3 linked regions of the Rhinolophus ferrumequinum genome follow. Each later gene encodes a partner of the first gene's protein in a complex. Links are inferred from orthologs where the notes say so. Each region holds a gene or a part of one and is shown in the gene's direction. Other genes may lie near its edges.

Region 1 (7,579 bases):
ATTCTGGGTCCCTGCCATGGATGGGAGGGGCCAGCCTGGCCAGGTGTTCTCCCTCCCTAGGCCCCAGGCAGGCGGCTGTGCTGGCCCGCCCTCCTTCCTACCCCCTCGCCTAAGCGTGGCAGATAGGCAGGTCTGGGCCGGCGGGCTGCTGAGTCAGTTTGCAAGGAATGTTCTGGCCGCTCCCAGCTACACCCTGCCCCTGCCTGCCCCCACCTCGCCCTCCTCCCCAGGTGCTGCTCGCCCCGGCCCGCCCGTGCCAGGAACGCACCTTCATGCCGAGCTTGCTTAGACCAGCTCCCATCGGCAGCCAACCCCACTCCTCACCCTGCTGCTCCCCCCATGACCCCAGCAGGTCCCTGATGCCTCTGAGCCCCCGTCATCGTGCTCCCAGGTTACTCATGGTTCGGGGGTCACATGTGTGAACATGGCCCACCTGTGTGGTGGGCAAACCACGGTGGGCCTGAGGCCAAGGCAGAGATGAGATGGGACCCCAACAACGACCAACAGGCAGGGCCCTGGGCCAGGGGAATGAGGGGGTTTCCTGAAGGAGAAGGCCCTGCAGTGAGGGCGGAAGGCTCTGCAGGGAGGACCAGCGAGGGCAGGGCCCAGGCTGCCCAGGCCTGGCGTGCTTGGCTAGGGCTGGGGGCTGGGGAGGTGGCCAGGAGGCCGGGCCTGTGGCGGCTGAGCCGGCACTTTGGCCAAAGCCCAGGGCCTCCCTCTCCTGGGCTCCACTCAGAACCATCACCCCTGGCCACCCCAGGCTGCCTCCTGGCCCAGGCAAACCCAAGCTGGCTGCTGCTGGGCTGATGGAGCGGTGGACAGGGGACCCGAGGGGCTATCCCCACAGGTGACCCGGCTGCCCCGGCTGTCTCCCATCTCCTCCAAGCCAGCAGGGTGGGAAAATGGGGCGCCCCACAGACCCCGACAGCACACCAGCCCCAGTGGGCACCACAGCTGAAGCTGGGCTCATACCAGACCTCATGGCCAGGATCCCCTGTGAGTTGTGGGATCCCGGGGGGGGCATGGGGATGGTCCGGCCCAGTTGGGGGGCAGCCACTGGACACAGAGGCACCTCAGGCCCTTCTGTGTGCCCACCCAGGGCCCCGCTGGGCACTCATCACCGTTGCTGCCGCCGCCGGTGTCCTCGTGGTTTCCTGCCTCCTCTGTGTTCTCTGCTGTTGCTGCCGCCGACACCGCAGGAAGAAGCCCAGGGACAAGGTGGCCGTGGGCCTGGGCAGTGCCCGCAGCAGCACCACCACCCACCTGGTGAGGAGTGGCTGCCAGTGCTCGTCAGTGCCCAGCTCCCAGCTGGGGCCGTCCCAGAGGGCAGCTCAAGGTCCAGGCTCCGGGGCTCAGGGTGGCCCAGTGAGCCCAAGGCTGAGCTCAGCTCCAGGGCCGGCTGGTCTGCCCAGATGCAGGGGCCGGGGGGCCCCCTTGGCAGGGGAGCCATGAGCAAAGTGGGGAGGGAAACAGTGACAAAGAGAGGCAGGTGGGACCAGGGCCTGAGGGCCGGGAGTGCCAGCCCCAGGGATTGGGCCGTGTGCCACGGGGTGCCACAGCAGTTTCTTGAGGGAAGCAGTGGTGCCAGAGATGGATTCGGGGAAGGTCCCTCAATTCTGGCCGGTCTCAGAGCTGAGCTGAGGGTGTGAGCCCTTCCGGTGGCCTGGCTGGAGGTGGGTGGTTTGACCCGAGTCCCGGAACGAATGCCTGGTAGGCCCAGGGCTCCCATGGGGGCACGGTTCCAGCAGCACCTGTCAGCAGTCCCTACCCACTCAGGTGCAGCCGGAGGTGGGTAATGTGGAGCCCCCACCCCAGCAGTGGGGGCGCCTGCAGCTATCCCTGCAGTACGACTCAGGAAGCCAGCAGGTGAGGGCCCCACTTTGCGGGCCCAGAGGGTCTGTGGGTTTGTGGTGGCTGAAGGGTGATTGCTAGGTGCTGGGTGCTGGGTGCTGGCTGCTAGGTGCTGGGCACTGGGCACTGGATGCTGGGTGCTGGGTGCGGGGCTGACCAGGGAAAGCCCTGGCTGAGCCACATCCTGGCTCCCAGATCAGGGTGGGCCTCAAGCAGGCAGTGGACCTGAGGGCCAGGGGCCCGGGGGACACAGCAGACCCCTACGCCTCCGTCAGCCTCTCCACCCAGCCCAGGCACAGACATGAGACAAAGGCACACCGTGGCACACTCAATCCCGTGTTTGATGAGACCTGCTGCTTCCATGTAAGTCCGGGCCTGATGGGTGGGGAGCCTGGGCCGGGTGGCAAGGGCTGGCTCACACTCCTGCCCGCAGGTCCCGCCAGCAGAGCTGCCCCAGACCACCCTGCAGGTGCGGCTTCTCGACTCCAGGTGCTTCTCCCAGCATGAGCCCCTGGGCGAGCTCAGTCTGCCACTGGGTGCCATTGACCTGCGGCACGTCCTGGAGCTCTGGCACCAGCTGGGCCCCCCGGGCACCACCGAGGTGAGGCCACTGACCACCAGGCTCCAGCCTGGCTCTGTCTGGTGCCAGCAGGGAGGCTGAGGCCCCCTCTCGCCACCCACAGGCTGAGCAGACCGGGGAGCTGTGCTTCTCGCTCCAGTACGTGCCTGGCTCAGGCCGGCTGACCGTGGTTGTGCTGGAGGCCCGAGGCCTGAGCTCAGGGCTGGCAGGTGAGGACCGTACCTGCCCACATCGAGTGGACAGAGGGGGGCCTGAGGGCTTGGCTGTCAGATCTGCATCACCCTCCAACCTCTTTTGCCTGCCCAGAGCCCTACGTGAAGGTCCAGCTCATGTTGAACCAGAGGAAATGGAAGAGGAGAAAGACATCTGCCAGGAAGAGCACGGCCAGCCCCTACTTCAATGAGGCCTTCACTTTCCTCGTGCCCTTCAGCCAGATCCAGGTAGGCCTGCCTGGAGGCAAGGGAAAGGCGGGTCTTCACTGGGGGACAAACTGACCACTGTCTTTCTCTTCCCAGAGTGTGGATCTGGTGCTGGCAGTCTGGGCCCGGGGCCTGCGGCTCCGGGCCGAGCCGGTGGGTAAGCTGGTGCTTGGCGCCCGGGCCTCTGGTCAGCCCCTGCAGCACTGGGCAGACATGCTGGCCCATGCCCGGCGGCCCGTCACCCAGTGGCACCGCCTGCGGCCCCCCAGGGAGGTGGACCGGGCCTTGGCCCTGCAGCCCCGCCTGCATCTGCCCTTACCTGGCTCCTGAAAGCGTCTCTGTGCCTCAATCTCCCTGGACTGGGCTGGGGGTACCCGTCCAGGCCCCTCTGTGGGGCCCACGGCAATAAATTCCTCCTCCTACCACCGCTACGTGTCCTTTCTGAGCCCTCAGGGGACACAGTAGGGTCAGGAGCCCCTCCCAAGGACAAGGAGAGGGTTTCTTCTCCAGACTCAGCCAGGTCCTGAGGCTTCTGACCAACGCCTGACCCCGGGTGGGGTGGATGGGCTCCTCCAAGCCCAACAGGGACAATACCAGGAGGGGGGGAGCCCTCCTGTCTGTGGGGGTTGGAGCATCAGGGATGGCGTGGGGGGAGGGGAGACGTCCCCACGGGCACAGGGTGGGCGATTGGGAAGCATTGCGGGGAGCTGGTGATGGTCGATGGAAGGAACCCCAACTCCAGGGACTGCCCCGGCTCCTCGCAGAGCCCCAAAACCTGCAGGACAGTGGCTGCAGGGCCTCCTCTGTGTGAGCAGCAGGGGGCAGCAGATGCCTTTGGAAGCTGCTGGGGCCTCTGGGGGCTCAGCGTGGCCGGGAAAGAACGCAGCTCTAATCCCCCACACATCTGGAGGCCTCAGCTCTCCCTGACCCTCCCCACGGCCGAGACACGGGCAGGGCTGGGGCCCGCACCCCAGCTCAGAGGGTGCCAAGTCATGGTTCTCCAGATGCCTCTCCTGGGTGGGGGCCCCGGGCGGGGGACACAGGCCCCAACCAGGGTGAGAAGGGCAATGCCGGGCCTGCCTGGGCCCCAAGCCCCTCAGGTCAGGGAGGGTTTCATGAGGGTGGTGTCACCATCCTCGCTGAGGGACGTGTTCCGAGCTGTGCAGGAACGTCCCTCAGGCAGGGCGTCCCTGGCAGGCAGCACGTCCAGGGCACCCCCGTTCCTGTTCCCCAGCAGGCGCGGGAAGGCAGGATCCCACCCAGGGGAGGGCAGCCCCACCCCAGAGACCCCCGCCACTGCTGCAGGCCCCAGCCGGCTTGGAGAAGGGGAGGCGCAGCCAGCTCGTGGCTGAGGCGCCTGCTGGGCTGAAGGGGGACTGTGAGCTGCAGAAGAGGTGGCTGCAGTGTGGACCCTGGTGTAGCACCAGATGGGGCCAGGCTCCCAGGGTCCCCTCAGAGACCCCTGAGCCCTGCACCGCGGCCCCCCCACAACCCCCCCCCCACAGTCCAGCCAGGCTGTGCATAGTGGCCTCAGGCTCCTTGTGAGTGAGAACCAGGAGTCTTCCTGAACTCGTCAGAGATCCCTAAATAGAGCAATCCAACCTCAGTACCCCCCTCCAAGACTTCTTGGACTAGACGGCGGCACGAGGCTGGGCCGGGCCAGGCAGCCTGGGCAGGTGGTGAGGTCCCTGTGCCCCCATTGGTCTGAGAAGGGCTCCATGCCCTTTCTGAGCAGGGGCCCAGCCTGGGGGAAGCCATTTATACCCCTCCCCCTGGGCCCACCAGCCCGACTTGCCACTGCCAGCCTGACCTCGCTCCCAGCACCGCTGCCCAGACGTTAGGTGAGGCCGGCCGGGCCAGCTGAGGCTGGGGACAGGCACCACTCGAGACAGCTAGCAGGAGGACTTCCCTGGGTGGGGGGCTGGGGGCTGGGGGCCTCCAGCAACCCTGTCTGGGGGGCTTCCATGGAGCTAGGAGCAGGAGGGCTGAAGTCGGGCAGGGGTCCTGGACAGCCCCTGGTGACCAGGCCTCATGTCTGGGACACGGGAAGGGGGCTTTAGGGTTGAGGGACCCCAGGTCAAACTGGGGAGCAGCTTCTCGCATGCACTTGGGCCCAAAGCCGAAGGAGCAGAGCTAAAAGTAGCCAGTGGCTCTGGCAGCCACCTGTGCTGGGCCATCTCCCCCCTCCCTTGAGGACAGCTGCCGAACCCCAGGCCCTGCCTGGGACATTTCTGGAACACTTTCTCCTCTTACTTCTCACCCCAGGGAATTCCAAGACATCGTCCCCACTGCCCAAGGAGGTCAGAGTTGGGGACAAAGGGCTGGGTTCATGTGAGGTGCTGCACAAGCCACCCACAACCACGAGCAGCTAATGTCCGTGGCAGAACGGGTCTGTGGCCCTGACACCCCTGCCTTTCTCTCCTACAGGCTCTAAGCCCAGGACCTCAAGATGGGGGAGTAAGTGGAGTCCCCACCCCTGGTGCCCCGTCCCCCCCGTCCCCCTCCCCCCAGGCAGGGGTCTCTGCGTCTCCCCAGCAGTGACCCCTGCCCACCCTGGCCACCTCCTGTCCCCACCCGCCCCAGCACATGGCCCTAACCTCTGCCTTTTCTCCTCCACCTCCGCCTGCCCTCCTGGGACAGTGATGAGGTGAGTACCTTCTTGGGGTGAAGCCCAGGGACTCGAACCCCCACTTGGGATAGGTCAGGGGTCAGAGTTTCAAGCCCCAAGGAGACACCCCACCCCCAGACATTGATGCAACAGAGGAAGTGGCTGCCCGGCGCCTCCTGGGGCAGGGGAAGTGGGACTGTGGCCTGGTCACCAGGGGGATTGCTTCTTCTTTCTGATTACTGCACCCCCTCACCCGGCCCTGCACCCCCGCCCTCCCCACTGCCTCTGAGCTGGAGCCTCTTCTCCACACCATGCAGGGTAGTATCCTGGGCCGAGCCCCCAACCAGGGCCTCGGGGCTTCCTAGACCCAGCTGCCTCCTGAGCAGGACCCCCTGGCCTGGGCGGGGAGTGTGAAAAGGATGTGGGGTTCTGGGGGCTCCAGGCTGGTCCTGACTCTGCCTCTTCTTCCCGCCCTGCAGAAGCGAAACAGGGCCCTCACGGCCCGCAGACAACACCTGAAGGTAGGTATGGCTGGGGGAGGGCCGCTGGGGGTCTCCCAGGCTGAGCCACAGCCCCTCACCCGCCCCCCCTGCCCCCCACAGAGCGTCATGCTCCAGATTGCCGCCACGGAGCTAGAGAAGGAGGAAAGTCGCCGCGAGTCTGAGAAGCAGAACTACCTGGCAGAGAACTGCCCCCCGCTGCACATCCCTGGCTCCACGGCCGAGGTGCAGGTACCCCAAGCCTCGAGTCGAGCTCCTGCCTCTCGCCTCAGTTTCCCCATTGGGCAAGAGGACTAGTAGGGTGGTCAGGGCAAGGGGGGCCGAGTGTCGGGACGGCCGCCCACCTGCATGTCCACCCCCAGGAGCTCTGTAAACAGCTGCATGCCAAGATTGACAAGGCCGAGGAGGAGAAGTATGACATGGAGATGAAGGTCCAGAAGAGCACCAAGGAGGTGAGAGGTGGACGGGCAGGGGACACGGGGGGAGGGGGGTGGGGGGGCAGGGCGCCCCGACCCGGTGGGGTCCGGCCCCGCCAGCTCCTACACAGCCCTCCCCATCCCTACAGCTGGAGGACATGAACCAGAAGCTATTCGACCTGAGAGGCAAGTTCAAGAGGCCGCCGCTGAGAAGGGTGCGCATGTCGGCCGACGCCATGCTTAAGGCTCTGCTGGGCTCCAAGCACAAGGTGTGCATGGACCTGCGGGCCAACCTGAAGCAGGTCAAGAAGGAGGACACCGAGAAGGTAGGCCACTCCGCCATCCCTGCAGGGCTGACTCCCCCAGCTCCCTCCCGGGGAGCCCATTCACAGAGGGGGAACGGAGGCTGAGGGTGGTCTCCAGCTTCCTGGTGGGCTGCGTGGGCCTGAGACTTTTCCTGGCCCCACGCCCAGGAACGGGACCTGCGTGACGTGGGTGACTGGCGGAAGAACATCGAGGAGAAGTCTGGCATGGAGGGCCGGAAGAAGATGTTCGAGTCTGAGTCCTAGGATCCCCGCCGCCTGGTGGTCGGTGGGGCGCTCTGGGCTCCCAGCACAGAGTGCAGGAGGGCAGGCCGACAGAGCTGGCCGGACGACCAGGCTCACGTCAGCTGTCAATAAAGGCTTCCAACCCGAGACTGGTTTGCTGTGGTTCTGCCCCAGCCTCTGCCTGCCGGGTGCCTGGAGCCTCTGGGTGCCCGCCACGCTCTGGGAAGGCCCCATCAGACGGTGGTGTGCCAGAGCTGTCAGCCACGTGCTGGGGAAGCCCGGGATGAGGGCATGGGGGAGACATGCACGGGCTCCGGGAATTTCAGGCCGGGTTGGGAAGGCCCTTATACTGGAATCCACCCGGCCTGCACCCTGCGGTTGCGTGGGATGGTCGGTGGTCATTTCCAGGGTGCTCTCCAGAGCTTTCTCTAGAGATAGATGGCCCAAGTCGTGTCTGAGCAGGAATTCTCAGAATGAGGTCATTTGTCCGTTTGCACAGTCATCATGAGAGGCCCCCACCCACACAGAGACCCCCTCCGTAAGAGACAAGTCCCGGCGAGGGGCCACGGCAGGTATGCACAATGTGGGCAGACCCCCATTCCTGTCAGGCTGCCCGTCTAAGACCCCACACCCTCCCACAGGGGACACACTGGACAG
Region 2 (7,974 bases), on another chromosome or scaffold:
TACATCCCTTTCTGGCCTCAGTTTCTCCATCTGTAAAATGGGGGCAGCCATTTATATCCACATAGCCACATTCCCCCCAAGGAAGTTGGAGTCGTCTTTACTTTCTCTTAGCTAGACTTGTAGACTCACAGCTCAGGAATTCCTGGACACTCACTCACCACGTACTTGGAGGGGGGGTCCTTGACCACATTGGCGCTGGTCACTTCGAAGAGCAGCCGCTGGGGTACCAGGGTGTTCCGGGACTTCTTCCAGAAATCCTGCAATTGCCGTGCCAGGTGCTGACTACCCCGCTGCCCATCAGGTGGGGGGTTCTGTTCTGCATGAGTACAGACCAGTCACATCAATGGGCCCGGAGCCAGGATCACATAAACCACGTTCTATGACCTTACTCATCCTCCCAACAAGTGACATAACTTTATCCCCATTTGTCATAAAAGGAAACTGAGGGCCAGAGAGGGCCTGAATGCCCAACATCGTGCCTGGCAGATAAGTGCACAGTAGGCACTAACTTAATATCTGCACCCCCAAGACATCCCTAGCACATTACCACGTTGTATCCCTGACTCTGGTACAGCTAATGTCTGCAACAACTCTGAGAAGGGAGTGATTTCCCCCATCTGACACTAGGGAGAACTTGGTTCAAAAAGGTATTGTGACTCTCTCAAGGTCACACATTCAAGAGGTGGTTGGGACACTTCAAAGTGTCAGAATTTCGGAGTTTGGGCAAGATCAACTCAGAGCCCTGTGACCATCTCGGGAAGGTGGCCGTGGTGGAGGCCTAATCGAGCCCCCAAGGTTTCCGCCTTCGTCCTCCGCACTCGCCTGTGTCTTCTCCCGACGCCTCGTCCCCACGGGGCAGTGGGTCCGGGCCGTCGTCCTCGTCGTCGTCCTCGTCCTCGTCGTCCGCATCCTCGGCGCTGGTGAAGCTAAGGGTGCCGCTGAGACGGGAGGACAGGCCCTCGGCGTCGTCGTCCTCCAGCTCCGAGCTCTCCGGGAACTGCTCGACCTCGGGACCGGCCGCCGCCTCCCCGAGGCCCTCGCCGGCCAGAGCGTGCCGCAGCCGGTGCAGGAGCCGCGAAGCCATGGCACCCTAGGGGGAGTGCGTGACTGTGGGTCCTGAGCCCTGGCGGAAGACCCGGGCCCCGATCGGGAAGGAGGAGGGGAGGGGTCCAGGTTGGGGGAGGGAGGGACGCCGCGGAGGCCCCGCCCCTGCCCGGTGGGGTCCTGAGAGTCCCGGGACTCCTCTCGCATCCCCCTCCCCTCACCCGCACAGCTTGGGGCCGCGCACTTCCCGGGAGGGGCCGGGACTCTACTACCCACGTCTCTGTCTCCCCCTGTAGCGTCTCGACCTCCTGCGTTCAGCGGAGCACTCGGGGACGCGTCGCTGCCTAGGGGTCCCGGTGCAGCCCCCGGCCGTTTACAGAGGCCGGGCCGGCTCTGCCCGGCCCAGCAGCTCCGGGCGCCGCTCCTGCCGCTTCCTGCCGCCGCCCCGCCCCCAGCCCCGCCCGCTACCCGGAGACGCCCGGGAATCCCAGGCCCTTTGCTCTAGGAGAGACTTGGGAATCCTGGGTAGGCCTGGGCGAGCCCCAGGCCTCCTGCGGTATCGTCTCCAATCCGACGGGGCTCACACCCTCCTTGAATCCTCTCACCCATCCCGGAGACTCAGGCTGGACCCAATATAGCCCCTAGTTTCCACCCAGCACTCTTGAACTCTCCAAAGTCATTACGTGACAGTGGGAAACCCATCTTTCCGGTGAGAAAACTAAGGCCAAGAGAAGACCCGTGATCTGGGTTGGAATCTGACCGCGCTGAGCCTAGGTTTTCTCATGTATAAAAGTACAATTAATACTAGTACTAATTTTGCAGCTTTTGTAAGGACCGTAGTCCAGTGCCTGGCACAGAGCAGGGATTTACAGAATGATCAGTCACATGATTATTGTTTCTACAGTGTTCATAGGCTTTTACAATTCCACTTGAGCCTCACATAAAGGAAGTAGGCAAAAGGGTAAGAAACCCAGAGAGACTGAGTTACTTGCCCAAAGTCACACAGCTTGCCAAGAGTTTTCTGAGTATGGGGCCTAATAGCCCAGGTTTCTGAGTTCTTTCCCTGTTCTTTTCCTAAGCAGCAGGCCCGCTAATTTTGAGCAACATCTATGGAGGGCTGTGTTTTATGTGTTATGGGGATGGTAGCAGCAGGTGAAGAAGAATTTATTGTCGCTGCCTGTGTCGGAAGGCCCAGATATTGGTCCCTAACAGGGCAGATATTGCTAGTTATACAACCGAACAAATAAAATCGCTCTGATAGTAGCTCCCACCCGTTTTGAATGGCACAGGAGAGGGGGGTAGGGGAAAATAGCTTTGAATGGAAAACACATTCCCTGCCATCCCACGTGCAGAGGGGGCGGGGCTCTCATTTCTTGAGGTTCCATTGAGTTTCCGTGTACATCCTGTTCTAGGCACTTTGCATGGGGTCACATTTCACCCTCACAACATCCTAGGGAAGGGGTTGTTATTGGACAATGACGGTCCATTTTCAAGATGAAGAAACTGAGGCAAATTGACTTTCCCAAAATCCACAGCTAGGAAATAGGAGAGCTTGGAATTAAGGCCAAGTCTGTGTAATTTCAAAGTTCTAACTACTCTTCATTCAGCTTACCAGCATGGTGTTGGGGCAAAAAAGACACATCATTCATTCATTCACTCAACACTCACTCATTCACCAAACATTGGCTGAATATTAAGTTGTACTTTGGTATATGCCTCACAATCTGGGTACAAAGCAGGTATTCATAAAACCATGGGTTGTCAGAGCAGGAGGGTCTCTCAGAAATCTGGCCTAGCACTTCCATTTTCCAGATGGGTAGTCTGAGGCTCAGGGAGGGGAAAGGGCTTACCCTGGGACACACAAACAGGGCCAGAACAAGGAGATCTCCTGATGTCCTGTATTGCACTACTCTTAGACTCTGTATGGAGAGATGGTCATCAAATTCCTGCTTGCATGCATTCAGTAACAAGAAGCTTTTCACCTCCTGAGGCTGCCTGTTCCTGTTGTTCTTCAACGGTGACTTCCTTCTTGTATTGAACCAGTAGCCATTCAGTTCAGTTATTCTTACAAAGCACACAATCTTTATTGAACCCTTGCTAAGTGCCAAGTGCTGGGTACTGGGCAATGCAGTGGTGACTAGGACACCGCCTCTTGTCTGTGGAACTCAGAACGGGTTGTGATCATGGGGCACGTGCAGTGTTATGACTGAGGAAACTACTGGAGACCACCTTAGACTCTCTTGGCCTGGGTGTAGAGGAAGAGGGATCCTGGATGAAGTAATGCTAAAGCTGAGAAAGATAGAGAAGTAAGCAGATGAAGAGCGGGAAGATGGGAAGATCCTGGCAGAAAAAAACAGCACGTGCGAAGGCCTGGAGGCTATAAAGGGTGGTGTTTTGAATTGTATTTTCATTGGACCAAAGCAAAGCAGCATGCAAGGTGGGGAGGGAAGGGGAGTGAGATGGGAGTGGTCAGTGGGACCTTGCTTGGCCACACTAAATGTGGATGTTATCTATGCCCCTGAACAAATTAAATAACAAATCAATGAACAAATGATTGCTGAGAGTTCCACACTCTGTTCCAAAGGGATCAAGTGGTTCCAACGTTTGTGTCCAAATTGGAATCCCTTGAGTGTCATCGCCCCTTGGCCCTCTGTCTGGCTTGGAGAGGCCTTATTTAGCCTGGCCTGGCTCCTCTGAGCTTTCCTTTGGGAATGTCTATATATAGGGGAAGAGGGCAGCCCAGTTGCCACTGTCCATCTGCCTACCTTGGTGTCCAGCCCCCTTTCACTGGCCCCAGACTCTGTGCTCAGTTGTCTCAGAGCTCTTTCTGTTGCCTTAACCATTGTCATGAGTGTGGCCTACTTCCCAACGCCCAGGCTGGACCCTGTGGATTCTCAGGCTAGGACCCCTTCAGACGTGACTTGATCTGCTCACCCTTTTACTCTCCAGATGGTCAGCTGAGCACCTGCAGACTTCACCCCCAAGCTCCAACAAGGGGTCCGCTGCCCCTTTATCTAATTAGACAAACTTCCTCTGGTCCTCTTCCTCCCCCAAAAAGTAAATCTCCAAATCCTTTCCCTGGAGAAGGTAAACTTCAGAGAAGAATCTGCTTTCAATGTTGATTTCTCCTCCAAGGGCACATCCTGTTTCCTGGACCCGGCCGAACAATTCTCCGTCTGGATGGGTCCCCCAAGAAGTGTCTGTCCCAAGTTCCCCTCAGTCAAGATTAATACGAATCACCAATCTGACTATAGACCTTTATGATTTACAAAGCTCCCCAATAAAAAGGGCATAACAATAGTTGGCACCCCACAGGATGAGTACTAGATGAGCTCTGAGATAATGTGGTTAAAATGCTTAGTACAGTGTGTGCATGTTGTAGAGGTTCAATAACTGTGGCTGTCACTTTCCCTTCCTCGGGTCCTGTTCAAAGACAGGACATTCCATTTGCCAAGCATCAACAGTATGTAGCTGGCACAAGCTAGGTGACTTATACTTGGGCTCCTGTGTACCACAGTCTCTCTGTGAGGGAGGTTATGACTGTGCCCTTCTCACAGACAAGGAAACAGGAGCTCAGAGCAGCATTGCCACCTGTCCAAGGTTACACAGCCTGCCGAGGCAGGACTTAGATTTTGGGTTTTGGACTTCAAGGTTTGTGCTTCCCCATTCCACCGCGTAGCCTCACTTTTCTCTATTCTGATTGTCCTCACCCATCTTGGAGCAAGTGTGCTTCTTGGAGGGGGCTCGCGAAGGTAGTGGAGCAGGGCGGGTTCTCCTCTAAGAATCTAGGACGTCAAGGCCTGCCACCTGCTCTGAGGCTTCAATTTCTCTGCAAGGGCCCTTGGCTAAATTAGGCAATGGGCTAGGACTCCGGGAGGAGGGGGGACTCACTGACCCCAGGATCTGATTGGCCAGGGCATCCAGTCCTGGGGAGCAGGGAGGTGGGAGGATAAGGTGCCCCTACAAATCCCAGGGCCTGGAGCGGGCCAGGGCATCTTTGGGTGGTGGAGTGCAGAGGAGGTGACCAGCAGCAGAGGAGTCCCTGTGACTAGGAACCATGGTAAGGACAAGAAGGGACTTCATCCCTTTGCTTGCTGGAGGACGCCTGGGCTCTTTAAAGCCAAATCCGAGTGCTCTGTGGAACAGTAACTTGGATGTTTGAAGATGGAATGTGAAGGTTCCTGCAACCCAGGTGTCTAGGAGGAAGCCTGGGAGGAAAGCCTTGGACTTCTCTTGGAAGGCAGGGCGGGGATGTCCCCGGCATTGGCCCTCAAGGTGTGCAGATTTCCTGCAGACCTTCTAGGACTTCCAGCAATGTTGGTCTTTGACCTGTGAGGGGGGTGTCTTAGCTTGTGTCTACCTTAGCTTGGTAGAGATGGGGACCCTGAGGGCCAGAGTGAGTCACACCAGCGAACCGGTGGCAGGGATAGGCTGGAGAAGCCTGGCCAAACCCTCCTGCCAGTGGGAGAAGAAAGTCTCCTTTGGAAGGTGGGAGGCCTCCAGGGCCTCAAGCTCCAAGGGTTATGAGAAGGGGCAGAAGATGACAGGCCAGAGTTAGAGAGACCCCAGCCTCCCACAGAGGGGGTCTGCTTTGGAGCTATCATCTTTCTCTGAGATCCCCCTCTCCACTGCACTTCAAGGAGTAACTAGACCCTGGAGGCCAGCTGCTGTTGCCCTCACCAGCCTAAAATTAGCTTGTCCTCCTGGCACAGGCAAGGAGGAGGGGGGCAAGGAGGAGGGCCAGCCACCAGCCAGAGGAACTTCTTGGGTGCCTCAGCCCTTCCTCACCACCAGCCACAGTCCAAAGCCCCCTATCCAGATGGCTTGGCTTAGATGTGACTGGAAACCCCACGGGAATCTTATTTTCACCCCTGCAAGGCCCCCATCATGTTCTGCCTGGCATGAGTGGCCTTTACTCTAATGACTGAATCATAAGAAGGAAGCTTAAACATCTCCACTTCTGCAAGTTCCCAGAGGGGAAGGATGAGGTGTCTGCTTGGTGGTCCTAGTGCTTGGGTTATGTTCTGACACTTAGTGGGTGCTCAGGAACGTGGTGTTGTGTGATTTATTTGAGAACAAACATTTATTGAGCACCTATTAAAGTACGAGATACAGTTAGGAGCTAGGGAAAATGGGGAAATCACGCTGGACTGGTGCTGGCGCTTTACAAAGTCCTTTCACAGCCCTAATTTCATTTCATCCCTGAAAAGCTGCTCAGAAGAGGTGAGGATATGAGGGGACATCAAGTGACCCCCCCCAAGGTTACTGGGGGGGTTCCTGACTTGACTTCTGATTGACAAGCGAGAAGGCCTTGGGCATAATGTTTCCTCTCTAGTTATCCAAAACTGGGGTCCGGGGCTGTGGGGGCAGGCAGAAGGGATGGCTAGTTTGGAGTTGTTCTTCCTGATGACCAAGGGGCACTTACAGAGCTGGCGCTTGAGGACACAGGGGTTAAGGCAAGAATTTGCCCCAGGGCTGCCCCTTCTGTCATCTGACTCTGTGTCTTCTGCAGACAGACCAGCAGGCCGAGGCCCGGTCCTACCTCAGCGAGGAGATGATCGCTGGTGAGTGGAGTGGCAGGCTAACTGTAGGGTTGATGTCTGCTGGGGGGATGTTTGGTATCTGGGCAGGGTGGGAAGGTAGATGTGAGGCTGACAGTCCAGCCAGGCTTACCTCAGCCCTCTGCCTTCCTTCACTTCGCAGAGTTCAAGGCCGCCTTTGACATGTTTGACGCTGATGGTGGCGGGGACATCAGCGTCAAGGAGTTGGGCACGGTGATGAGAATGCTGGGCCAGACACCCACCAAAGAGGAGCTGGACGCCATCATTGAGGAGGTGGATGAGGACGGTGAGCGGGTGGCCTCCCCAGGCAGGGTGCGAGGGGGAATCGGGAGAGGCGGGCAGCCAGGTGTCCGGGACTCAGGGTCACTCACCACCTGCTCCCTTCAGGCAGCGGCACCATCGACTTCGAGGAGTTCTTGGTCATGATGGTGCGCCAGATGAAAGAGGACGCGAAAGGGAAGAGCGAGGAGGAGCTGGCCGAGTGTTTCCGCGTCTTCGACAGGTGCATTGGGGGCCTGGGAGCCGAGGCAGGCGCTGAGCAGCCGGAGACCGGTCCGCAGGGCGCGAAGGGTTCTCGGGGTGGGGGTGCTGGGAGTGGGGTGTGGAGTGTGGCGGGGGCGGCGAGCCCCTGCCTGCCCTGAGTCCCGCCCTGTCCCTCGGCCCGAAGGAACGCAGACGGCTACATCGATGCGGAGGAGCTGGCTGAGATCTTCAGGTCCTCTGGGGAGCACGTGACAGATGAGGAGATCGAATCCCTGATGAAAGACGGGGATAAGAACAACGATGGCCGCATTGACTTCGACGGTGAGGGCCACAGGCCTGGGGAGCCGGGACAGAGCCGCGTGGAGCGCATCCAGGGCGGGGCACCCGTGCCGCCGGCACCCACGCGGGCGGCTAGCCTCAGGGGCGGGGCGGGGCTGGCCTGACCGGGTTCCTCCCGCGCGCCCGGTGTCGGCGGGCGCCCTGGCCCGGCCTCACTCGCCGCCCCCTGACACTGCGCCCCCGGCGCAGGGTTCTGCGTCCCGAGGGGACCCCTGACCGCCTGTCCCTCTCTCTCCTTCCCGCAGAGTTCCTGAAGATGATGGAGGGCGTGCAGTAAGAAGTCGGCCCTCGCCCACCGAAACCGCGCCACCCTCGGGTGACGGGGCTTCTCCCCGCTCCGTGCCATTCCCCGCCCGGGAGGGAGGCGCGGTCCCTTTCGGGATCCTTTTCTAGAAGGAATAAAAGCAATCGTTGCAAAGCGCTTGGTCTGAGTGAGGGAAGGATCGAAGAGCGGGTGTCAGGGGCAGCTTGGCTGGGCAGGGCGCCACCCCGGCTGGCGCCACCCGAGCGCCTTCCGGCTCCTAGAAGAGGCGAGTCCAGCAGCGGG
Region 3 (6,842 bases), on another chromosome or scaffold:
GTCATGGAAGTCACTGTAGCGGTGCTTGACTGTCCATTCATGATTGCCATCAGTGACCTGGATGATGTAAACCTACGAGGGAAAACAGGCAGCCCTTGCCGAGTGAGTAACAAGGAGAGCCCCACCCCGCCCCCAGCAATAGCTGCAGGATACCCAGACCCTCTCAAGCCACAGGACAAAGGTAGGCTGCCCTTCCCCACCAGCCTTTGCACCTGACTCTTGTTGCACAGCAGGGCCCCCTCTTAGCCTCCTCAACGGCACTAACACTGTATCTGGCAGGAACACAGGATGTTTGTGGCTCTAGCCAACAGAGAGGAACGGAAAAGGTGACTATCATATCAAACCATCTCTTTAGATTTTTACCTCCAGTCTCCAGGTAATTCAATGCCCAATCCAACCTGAGCTGCACGCAAGGCCATCTCTTCCAAGGGAGGCAGAACAGGGCCGGGTCTGGCAGGGCTAGCTTCTCTGTTGTATGTTTTCCTAGGTGCCCTGCCCATATCCTGGAAGCAAGCCCTAGTCTAACCCTTTCAGCTGGATCACAGCTGCGATTTCTGCTGCTGAGCCAGTAGTCAAGGCACCAAGAAGCTGATGGATGGGTGGGACGGGAGGATGGTGATGGACTATCAAGCCCTAACAGAAGGCAAAATGACTTAGCCGTCAGGGGAATGGGATCAAGGAAGACCTCAGGTCAACACCTGACTGCCATTGCCTGGCTGTGCTTATGGACGAGTCACTTATATAAGTGACTGGGAAGCCTACGTTTTCTCTGAGCCTCAGTTCTTCCATCTTAAAATCTGCTAGGTTTAAGAATCAAATAAGGTAATGCATGTAAAATGCTTTGTACAGGGCCTGCCATGCAGCAAGTGTTCAATAAAAAGTAGGTGTGTTAATAATATTCAGTTCAGCACACCCGGAGCCAAATGGTAGGTTGGCCTGGATCATCACATCCCCCACACCCATTCAGGAGTGGCTCAGCCCTGGCCAGTAAAGACAACTTTTGGAGCTGACCCTCCAGCTGAATGCTGCCCATGGGTGATTTCCAGCCAGCCACCAGCTTAGAGACCTCAACCCTCACCTAGTGTCCTGCCCCACACTGCAGCAAGCAGGGAAGGGGGAGAAGAAATTAATCAACTCAGCTGAAGCCTCCACAGAGAGAAGCAGCCATTTCTCCAGGGCTGGCCTGTTGCTCCAGGATCCGCCCCCAGCCCCTCTTCCCAGCAAGGCAGCTTCCCTCCTCCTCGTGTCCAAGAAAGGAGAAAGAGCCAGAGGAACGACCCTCAGGAGGAGGGTTAGGATGAGGGCCAAGGGGGTGGGGCGAAGGCAGGGCCAAAGACCCCCACCCTCTGGGAACAAAGAATAGGAGCTGGGAGGTGTTCAGTACGCCCCCACCTCAGGACCAGACCCTGCCAGGCAGCCTACCAGATCCATAGGCCTGGCGTCCAACCCCATCCAGACCCAGGAGGGTTCCATCACTGCCCTAAACCCTCCTCTTTCATATCCTCCATTTCTCCCATAGCCTGGACGGGTGTGTTTGTGTGACTGTGTGGGAGGGGCTTGCTGCCCCAACTCGCCCCCAAAGCCATGAAAACACCTAAGGTTCCTGGGTCTTGCACTTTCAGCCCTGAGCGAAACCCTCAATGCCCCCATGTGTGGGCTCCACCCTTACCTCTTTCTAGTCTCGGCCTGAACCCCAGGCCGCTGGGCCCGACCTGGAGCAAATCTCAACAGCGACCCTAGGTTCCCCAGATCAAGGCCCGGCCCCCTCTCCTCTTTCGCGGCGAACAGGGCCCTGACCCTTCCCCCGATTCCATCCATCAGCGATCCTCTCTTTAATCCCCCTCCTCCCGGACCCCCTCGCCTATCCTCCCAGGCTGGCACCCTTCCAGGCCTAGAGGATCTAGAGGACCCTCCATCTCGTCTAGACGTCCTCTCCTCCCCAGACCCCCTTTATCCCCTGATCCTCCCCAGATCCTCCCCCCGACTAGCCTCCTTTCCTGAACAGGTACTCTTTCCCCAAAAACCTCCCTGGGCTCTACCCTAGGGCCCTCTTCCTGGACCTACGGGGCCCAGATCCATTCCCCAGAAACCCCTATCCCCGGCCCCCTCCTCGAAATCGCTGGCCCGCTACTCATCCCTCCCCGGTCACGGAACCCAGACCTCCTCCCCAATCCCCCGACTCGGACTCGGGGTTCCAGCCGCCACCCCCGGTTCGGGCACCCACGGCCCCAGCACACCGTATACGTGTCCACAAGCTCAGAGCCCACGACGCGCGCCTCCTTGGCCGGTTCGGCCTCCCGCTCCGGCCCAAAGCTGCGCGCTACAGTCGCCATGTTCCGGGTTTCACCGCCTCCCGGCGCAGACTGGCAGCAGCAGGGGGCGGGGTCAGCGTCCCACCATCCCCCGGCTCCCACCGGCCCCCGCCTTCGCCGCGCCCCGTGCCGCCATCTTGGCCCCACCGCCTCCTCTCGTTTTCGCCCCGCCCCTCGCGCATAATTGACAGCAGCCACTCACGGCGCGCGTGCGCAGGCCTGTCCGCTTGCGTAATCTGTATCAGGGTGGTGCCGCCGGTCACGCTACTAGCAACCGGGGGAAACTGAGGCCCCGTGCAGGTAGCTCTAGGCATTACCCTTCCGTGCCCGGGAGGGAGGACAGAAAGCTCCACGCGTCCTCGGCTACCCGAAGCAAGTCACTGCTCCGCCTGGCTTCAGTTTTCCTCTCCGAAAAAGGGAGGCAGTAATCGCGCTAGCTCTTAGACTCGTTCTAGGCTAGAAACGGTTGAAGAAGATACGAGCTGTGCGTAGAGCCTAAACAGGGACAGAGAATTCTGGACCAGTTCTTACCCTCTCCAACACTCGGAAATCTCTGTTACATGGGCTGCTGGAGAATTGAGTGGGTTAATGCATGCAGTGTCCGGTTCAAAGGCAGGGAGCTGGTGTGGTTATCAAGACGGGGCTCTGCATGGTGGGGGTGTGACGGTGGAAGGAAGGGTTATGTGCTGGCCGTTGGGCACAAGACATGTGGTGACCTACCGGAGCTTGAAAGGGGGTGACAGACTAGCCCTGGACCCAGGAACTACAGTGCTGGAATGGGAAGCACAGGCACAGAGATAGAGCCCTAACCCGGGGGCAGACCTGGACCTAAAAGAGGGAGGTAATAGCCCAGCTGTGGAGGGGAAGGAGAGGGAGAGTCTGGCACAGACAGGGTATCTATAGGTGTGTTTGTTGGCTGACTGAGTGCAGCTAACCAAACCCAGAACAGTACTATGTGGAGATGAGAGGTCCGGGTTATGGCTCCTCTGGCACCCTTGGCTGAAGGGCTCCAGACCACTCAGTCCTAAGGTGGGTCAGTGACTTCCTTATCTACCAGTTCATAGCACTGTGCTCAGAGCTTCCCACTCCAGGCTTCCCTTGGCAGGGCCCTATACTCCCAAGCCTCTCCTTGCATACAGCTGCCCTCCACTGCAGAGTGTAAGACAGGGGCTACCAAATCAGCCAGACCTTGGCCACATCACCACCCCTCCAGGATCCTCAGTTTCCTTATTGGAAAGTGGGAGTAATGTCACCCACCCCCCTGCTTGGATGGGAGGTTGAGCTGCTGTGTAGGGGCCTGGCCTGGGCCCCACTACTTTGCAGCTCCTGTCCTGTCCTGGGCTCATGTTTTCATTCATTCAAGAAAACTTTCCAAGGAGTCCCCTAGAGGCCATGGGGGAACAAAGGGAAAGAGACTTGGTCCTTAACAGGCCTTCATCTCCTTTTCCTGGGCAGAGGACACAGGGACTCAGGCCAGTCTGAGATCACCAGGACCGGGGGAGGGGGTGGAGGATGCTCCACACTGGGGGGGGGGGCTGGGCCGGAATGCAGCTGGGGCAGGGCTATTTAAGCCCAGGGCGGACTGCCTGGCAACCCCAGCAGCCTGCCCTGTGAGTCGCCGGCATGGACGACATCTACAAGGCAGCGGTGAGGGACTGGGCTGGGTGGACCCACTGGGGGCTCACTCATCTCAGAGTGCGGGGTGGGGGGGGGAGGGCAAGGTCACTCCAGGGATGTGGTGGGGGCCCAGGAGAGGACCCACATACTTTCAGCCCAGGGCCTCAAGGGGATGGTGGGTCTGGTGTTCTGGGTGTTGAAGGGATTCAGGGACTGGAGAGGATCTGTCAGAGTGGGTAGAGGAGGAGGTCACACCTTGTAGGGTCATGTCTGTCCCTGTCTCCAAGTGTCCAGTCTGTATCCACATCTGTGGTCTCTCAGCCACATCTCTGCGTTTGTGTCTTTGGTCTCTGGAGCTTTGCTTTTCTCAGCTTCTTCTCATCTTTGTTCTAAGCTGTCTGAGTCTCAGCCGCTGTCTCCCTGTCCTCACCCACATTTCTGCCCCTCATATTCTGCTTCCCACACACTCACAATCCCCCCCGCCCCCTCCAGCCCCTTAGCTGGCTGAAGATGCTGTGGAGGAAGGGGGTGACAGGAGTTGTAAAGAGCGGGCTGCAGAGTCAGAATCCTAAGCTAGGGAAGAGACTTTCATGTCTGAAGCAGGCAGGGAAGGACTGGCCACGGGGGAGACTGGGAAGAAGGAACAGAGAACTGGGGCCCAAGCCCCCATCTGGCCCGGCAGGCTCTGGGCTCAACGGCTTAGCCAGGGGTGAGGGCTGGAGAGTGGTTACCTCAAGTCCCTGCAGCCTTCTGGGCTCACTGAGGGGCTTCAGATGCCATTGTATCGGCGGGGGGCTGGTTTGCTGACCTCTCCCTGCGCCAGAGACAAGGACATCTGGTACAGACAGCTGTCCCCAAGGGAACCCCTCCCTTAGCCCTGGGATTGTGGTCCCACTCCTAGGCAGGGAAGGGCTATAGCTGGCTCTGGGGGCACCCCTTCCTATCCTGCAGTAGTCCTTGGAGCTGGGGGGAGCAGCCCTCCGCCTGTGCCCATACAAGGCCTGGCGGGGCTGGGGGCTAATTTTGGCTCCTGAGGCACCAGCAGGCCAGGGGGCCAGATAACACTGCCCCACCCCCTGCATGCCACAGTCCCCAGAACAATCACCAGGTTTAACTTTGTCGCCCGTTAAAAATAGCCCAGTGGCCATGCCGGTCAAATTACAGTGGGTGGCTTTACCTACCCCCACACTGGGTTTATTGTCCCAACCTGAGGGACAGCTGTCCCTCGGGCCACCCAGCTTGGGTTTCAGCAGGGGTCCAATTGGGCACTGAGTGGTCACTAACTATTGTTATTCAGGGTCACCTAGTCAACGGAGGGTTGCCCACCTGTCACCCTGGCCCTGAACCCAATCTCAGTGAGGCCGGCTGGGTCACCTCAGGGTTTTGGGGGCAAGAAGGGAGGACTGAGGCCTCCATTATGTGACTTGGAAATGGCACGCCTCTTCCTGGCTTCAGTCTTCCCACCTGTGGAATGGGTTGGTTTCCTCAACAGCAGCTAAAGCCTGGAGCCTGAGTCCTGAGACCTCTTTTCCTCTCTAGGTAGAGCAGCTGACAGAAGAGCAGAAAAATGGTGAGTACTCCAACACACATGTAAGGAAACAGCAGGGCCGGGCTGTGGGAACAGGAGGACCCCAGGCTGGAGAAGAGAGGCTGGGGTCCCTCTCGTTGTGACCTCAAAGGCTCAGAGGGAAGTGGGCAGATTGGCCTGAGGGGTCTTGCCTTTTGGGGTCCTGGCTGCTGAGCCCTGGCCACTCTGTTTTCCACCCCCCGACCATCGGACACAGAGTTCAAGGCAGCCTTTGACATCTTCGTGCTGGGCGCTGAGGATGGCTGCATCAGCACCAAGGAGCTGGGCAAGGTGATGAGGATGCTGGGCCAGAACCCCACACCTGAGGAGCTGCAGGAGATGATTGACGAGGTGGACGAGGATGGTGAGCTCCTCTGCCCTACAGGCCCCAGACCCCCGGGTCACTGGGGACCTGAATCCTGCGTCTGCCACTTATTATCCTGTGCTCTTGAAGGAACAGTTTAGCCTCTCTGAGCCTCAGTCATCTAATATATAAAGTGGGCATAATGACCACCTTGCTTCATGGGGTTGGTGTGTGGATGCAGTGAGAAAAACGGAGTCTAGGTTCAAGGGCGATACCAGTCATTCTGACCATCCCTCTTTAATGGCCGTGTCACCTACCCTCCAGGCAGCGGCACAGTGGACTTTGATGAATTCCTGGTCATGATGGTTCGGTGCATGAAGGATGACAGCAAAGGAAAGTCTGAGGAGGAGCTGTCTGACCTCTTTCGCATGTTTGACAAGTGAGCATGTGACCATTGACCTCTGACTCCAGCTCTAGCAGAGCTCGGGAAAGTGGAACAGTCTTGTGACCTCCAGGCCTCAGTCTCCCTTTCTGTGTAATGGGAGAGTGGGATGCTCCATCTCTCAGTGGCCCTGCTTCCCTGGGTCATGGGTGGGGCTGCCTCTTCCCCTCCCCAGTCCATGGCTCTGAGACCCGCCCCTGCCCCGGACTCACTGCAGAAATGCTGACGGCTACATTGACCTGGAGGAGCTGAAGACAATGCTTCAGGCTACAGGTGAGACCATCACGGAGGACGACATTGAGGAGCTCATGAAGGATGGTGACAAGAACAATGACGGCCGGATCGACTATGACGGTGAGGGCGTGATGTACCGGGTTTCCCACTGCCCACACCGTGCCAGCCCCCACCTCTGACCCATGCCTGTTACTCTCTCCACAGAGTTCCTGGAGTTCATGAAAGGGGTGGAGTAGAGGCCGACCCTCTCCCAGAGCTGCCTGTGCCACCTTCCAACTCCAGCTGGGCCCTGGGGTGGGGCAAGGGGCCGGTGTCCCCAGGATGTGAGCCTGGGCGTGTCCTTGACCGCAGGCCATCCCTGACTCC

The links.
Region 2: the proteins of TNNI2 (region 1) and TNNC2 are in contact, whole or in part, in a crystal structure (PDB 1A2X), measured with the Oryctolagus cuniculus proteins. The link is inferred for Rhinolophus ferrumequinum from reciprocal best matches to the Homo sapiens genes TNNI2 and TNNC2. Residues at the interface, in NP_001076252.1 of Oryctolagus cuniculus: Glu5, Asn8, Arg9, Ile11, Thr12, Arg14, Arg15, Gln16, His17, Leu18, Lys19, Ser20, Val21, Met22, Leu23, Ile25, Ala26, Glu29, Leu30, Glu33; in NP_001076114.1 of Oryctolagus cuniculus: Ser13, Glu15, Met16, Ala18, Glu19, Ala22, Lys91, Leu96, Glu98, Cys99, Arg101, Ile102, Phe103, Arg105, Ile119, Phe120, Ala122, Ser123, Glu125, His126, Val127, Glu131, Ser134, Leu135, Asp138, Phe152, Met155, Met156, Val159, Gln160.
Region 3: the proteins of TNNI2 (region 1) and TNNC1 are in contact, whole or in part, in an NMR structure (PDB 2MKP), measured with the Homo sapiens proteins. The link is inferred for Rhinolophus ferrumequinum from reciprocal best matches to the Homo sapiens genes TNNI2 and TNNC1. Residues at the interface, in NP_001139301.1 of Homo sapiens: Arg116, Met117, Ser118, Ala119, Asp120, Ala121, Met122, Leu123, Ala125, Leu126, Leu127, Lys130, His131, Lys132; in NP_003271.1 of Homo sapiens: Asn18, Glu19, Phe20, Ala22, Ala23, Ile26, Val44, Met45, Met47, Leu48, Gln50, Pro52, Glu56, Phe77, Met80, Met81, Cys84, Met85, Lys86, Asp87.

The regions. Positions count from the first base shown.
Region 1 is NC_046294.1:1,219,446-1,227,024, forward strand, and holds TNNI2 (troponin I, fast skeletal muscle), read left to right. Parts: upstream 1-4,569; 5' UTR 4,570-4,691; intron 4,692-5,277; 5' UTR 5,278-5,299; coding exon 5,300-5,307; intron 5,308-5,490; coding exon 5,491-5,497; intron 5,498-5,937; coding exon 5,938-5,979; intron 5,980-6,060; coding exon 6,061-6,189; intron 6,190-6,320; coding exon 6,321-6,410; intron 6,411-6,523; coding exon 6,524-6,700; intron 6,701-6,847; coding exon 6,848-6,943; 3' UTR 6,944-7,069; downstream 7,070-7,579. Other genes in the region: SYT8 (synaptotagmin-8), read left to right, coding at 903-996, 1,100-1,266, 1,777-1,866, 2,047-2,214, 2,285-2,452, 2,535-2,640, 2,738-2,871, 2,947-3,180. UniProt on the Homo sapiens protein: Troponin I is the inhibitory subunit of troponin, the thin filament regulatory complex which confers calcium-sensitivity to striated muscle actomyosin ATPase activity.
Region 2 is NC_046306.1:12,303,763-12,311,736, forward strand, and holds TNNC2 (troponin C, skeletal muscle), read left to right. Parts: upstream 1-4,968; 5' UTR 4,969-5,101; coding exon 5,102-5,104; intron 5,105-6,556; coding exon 6,557-6,608; intron 6,609-6,747; coding exon 6,748-6,891; intron 6,892-6,992; coding exon 6,993-7,107; intron 7,108-7,272; coding exon 7,273-7,409; intron 7,410-7,672; coding exon 7,673-7,704; 3' UTR 7,705-7,845; downstream 7,846-7,974. Other genes in the region: SNX21 (sorting nexin-21), read right to left, coding at 159-316, 823-1,084. UniProt on the Homo sapiens protein: Troponin is the central regulatory protein of striated muscle contraction. Tn consists of three components: Tn-I which is the inhibitor of actomyosin ATPase, Tn-T which contains the binding site for tropomyosin and Tn-C.
Region 3 is NC_046300.1:48,074,290-48,081,131, reverse strand, and holds the start of TNNC1 (troponin C, slow skeletal and cardiac muscles), read left to right. Parts: upstream 1-3,836; 5' UTR 3,837-3,935; coding exon 3,936-3,959; intron 3,960-5,468; coding exon 5,469-5,499; intron 5,500-5,713; coding exon 5,714-5,860; intron 5,861-6,124; coding exon 6,125-6,239; intron 6,240-6,459; coding exon 6,460-6,596; intron 6,597-6,680; coding exon 6,681-6,712; 3' UTR 6,713-6,842. Other genes in the region: NISCH (nischarin), read right to left, coding at 1-72, 2,238-2,333. UniProt on the Homo sapiens protein: Troponin is the central regulatory protein of striated muscle contraction. Tn consists of three components: Tn-I which is the inhibitor of actomyosin ATPase, Tn-T which contains the binding site for tropomyosin and Tn-C.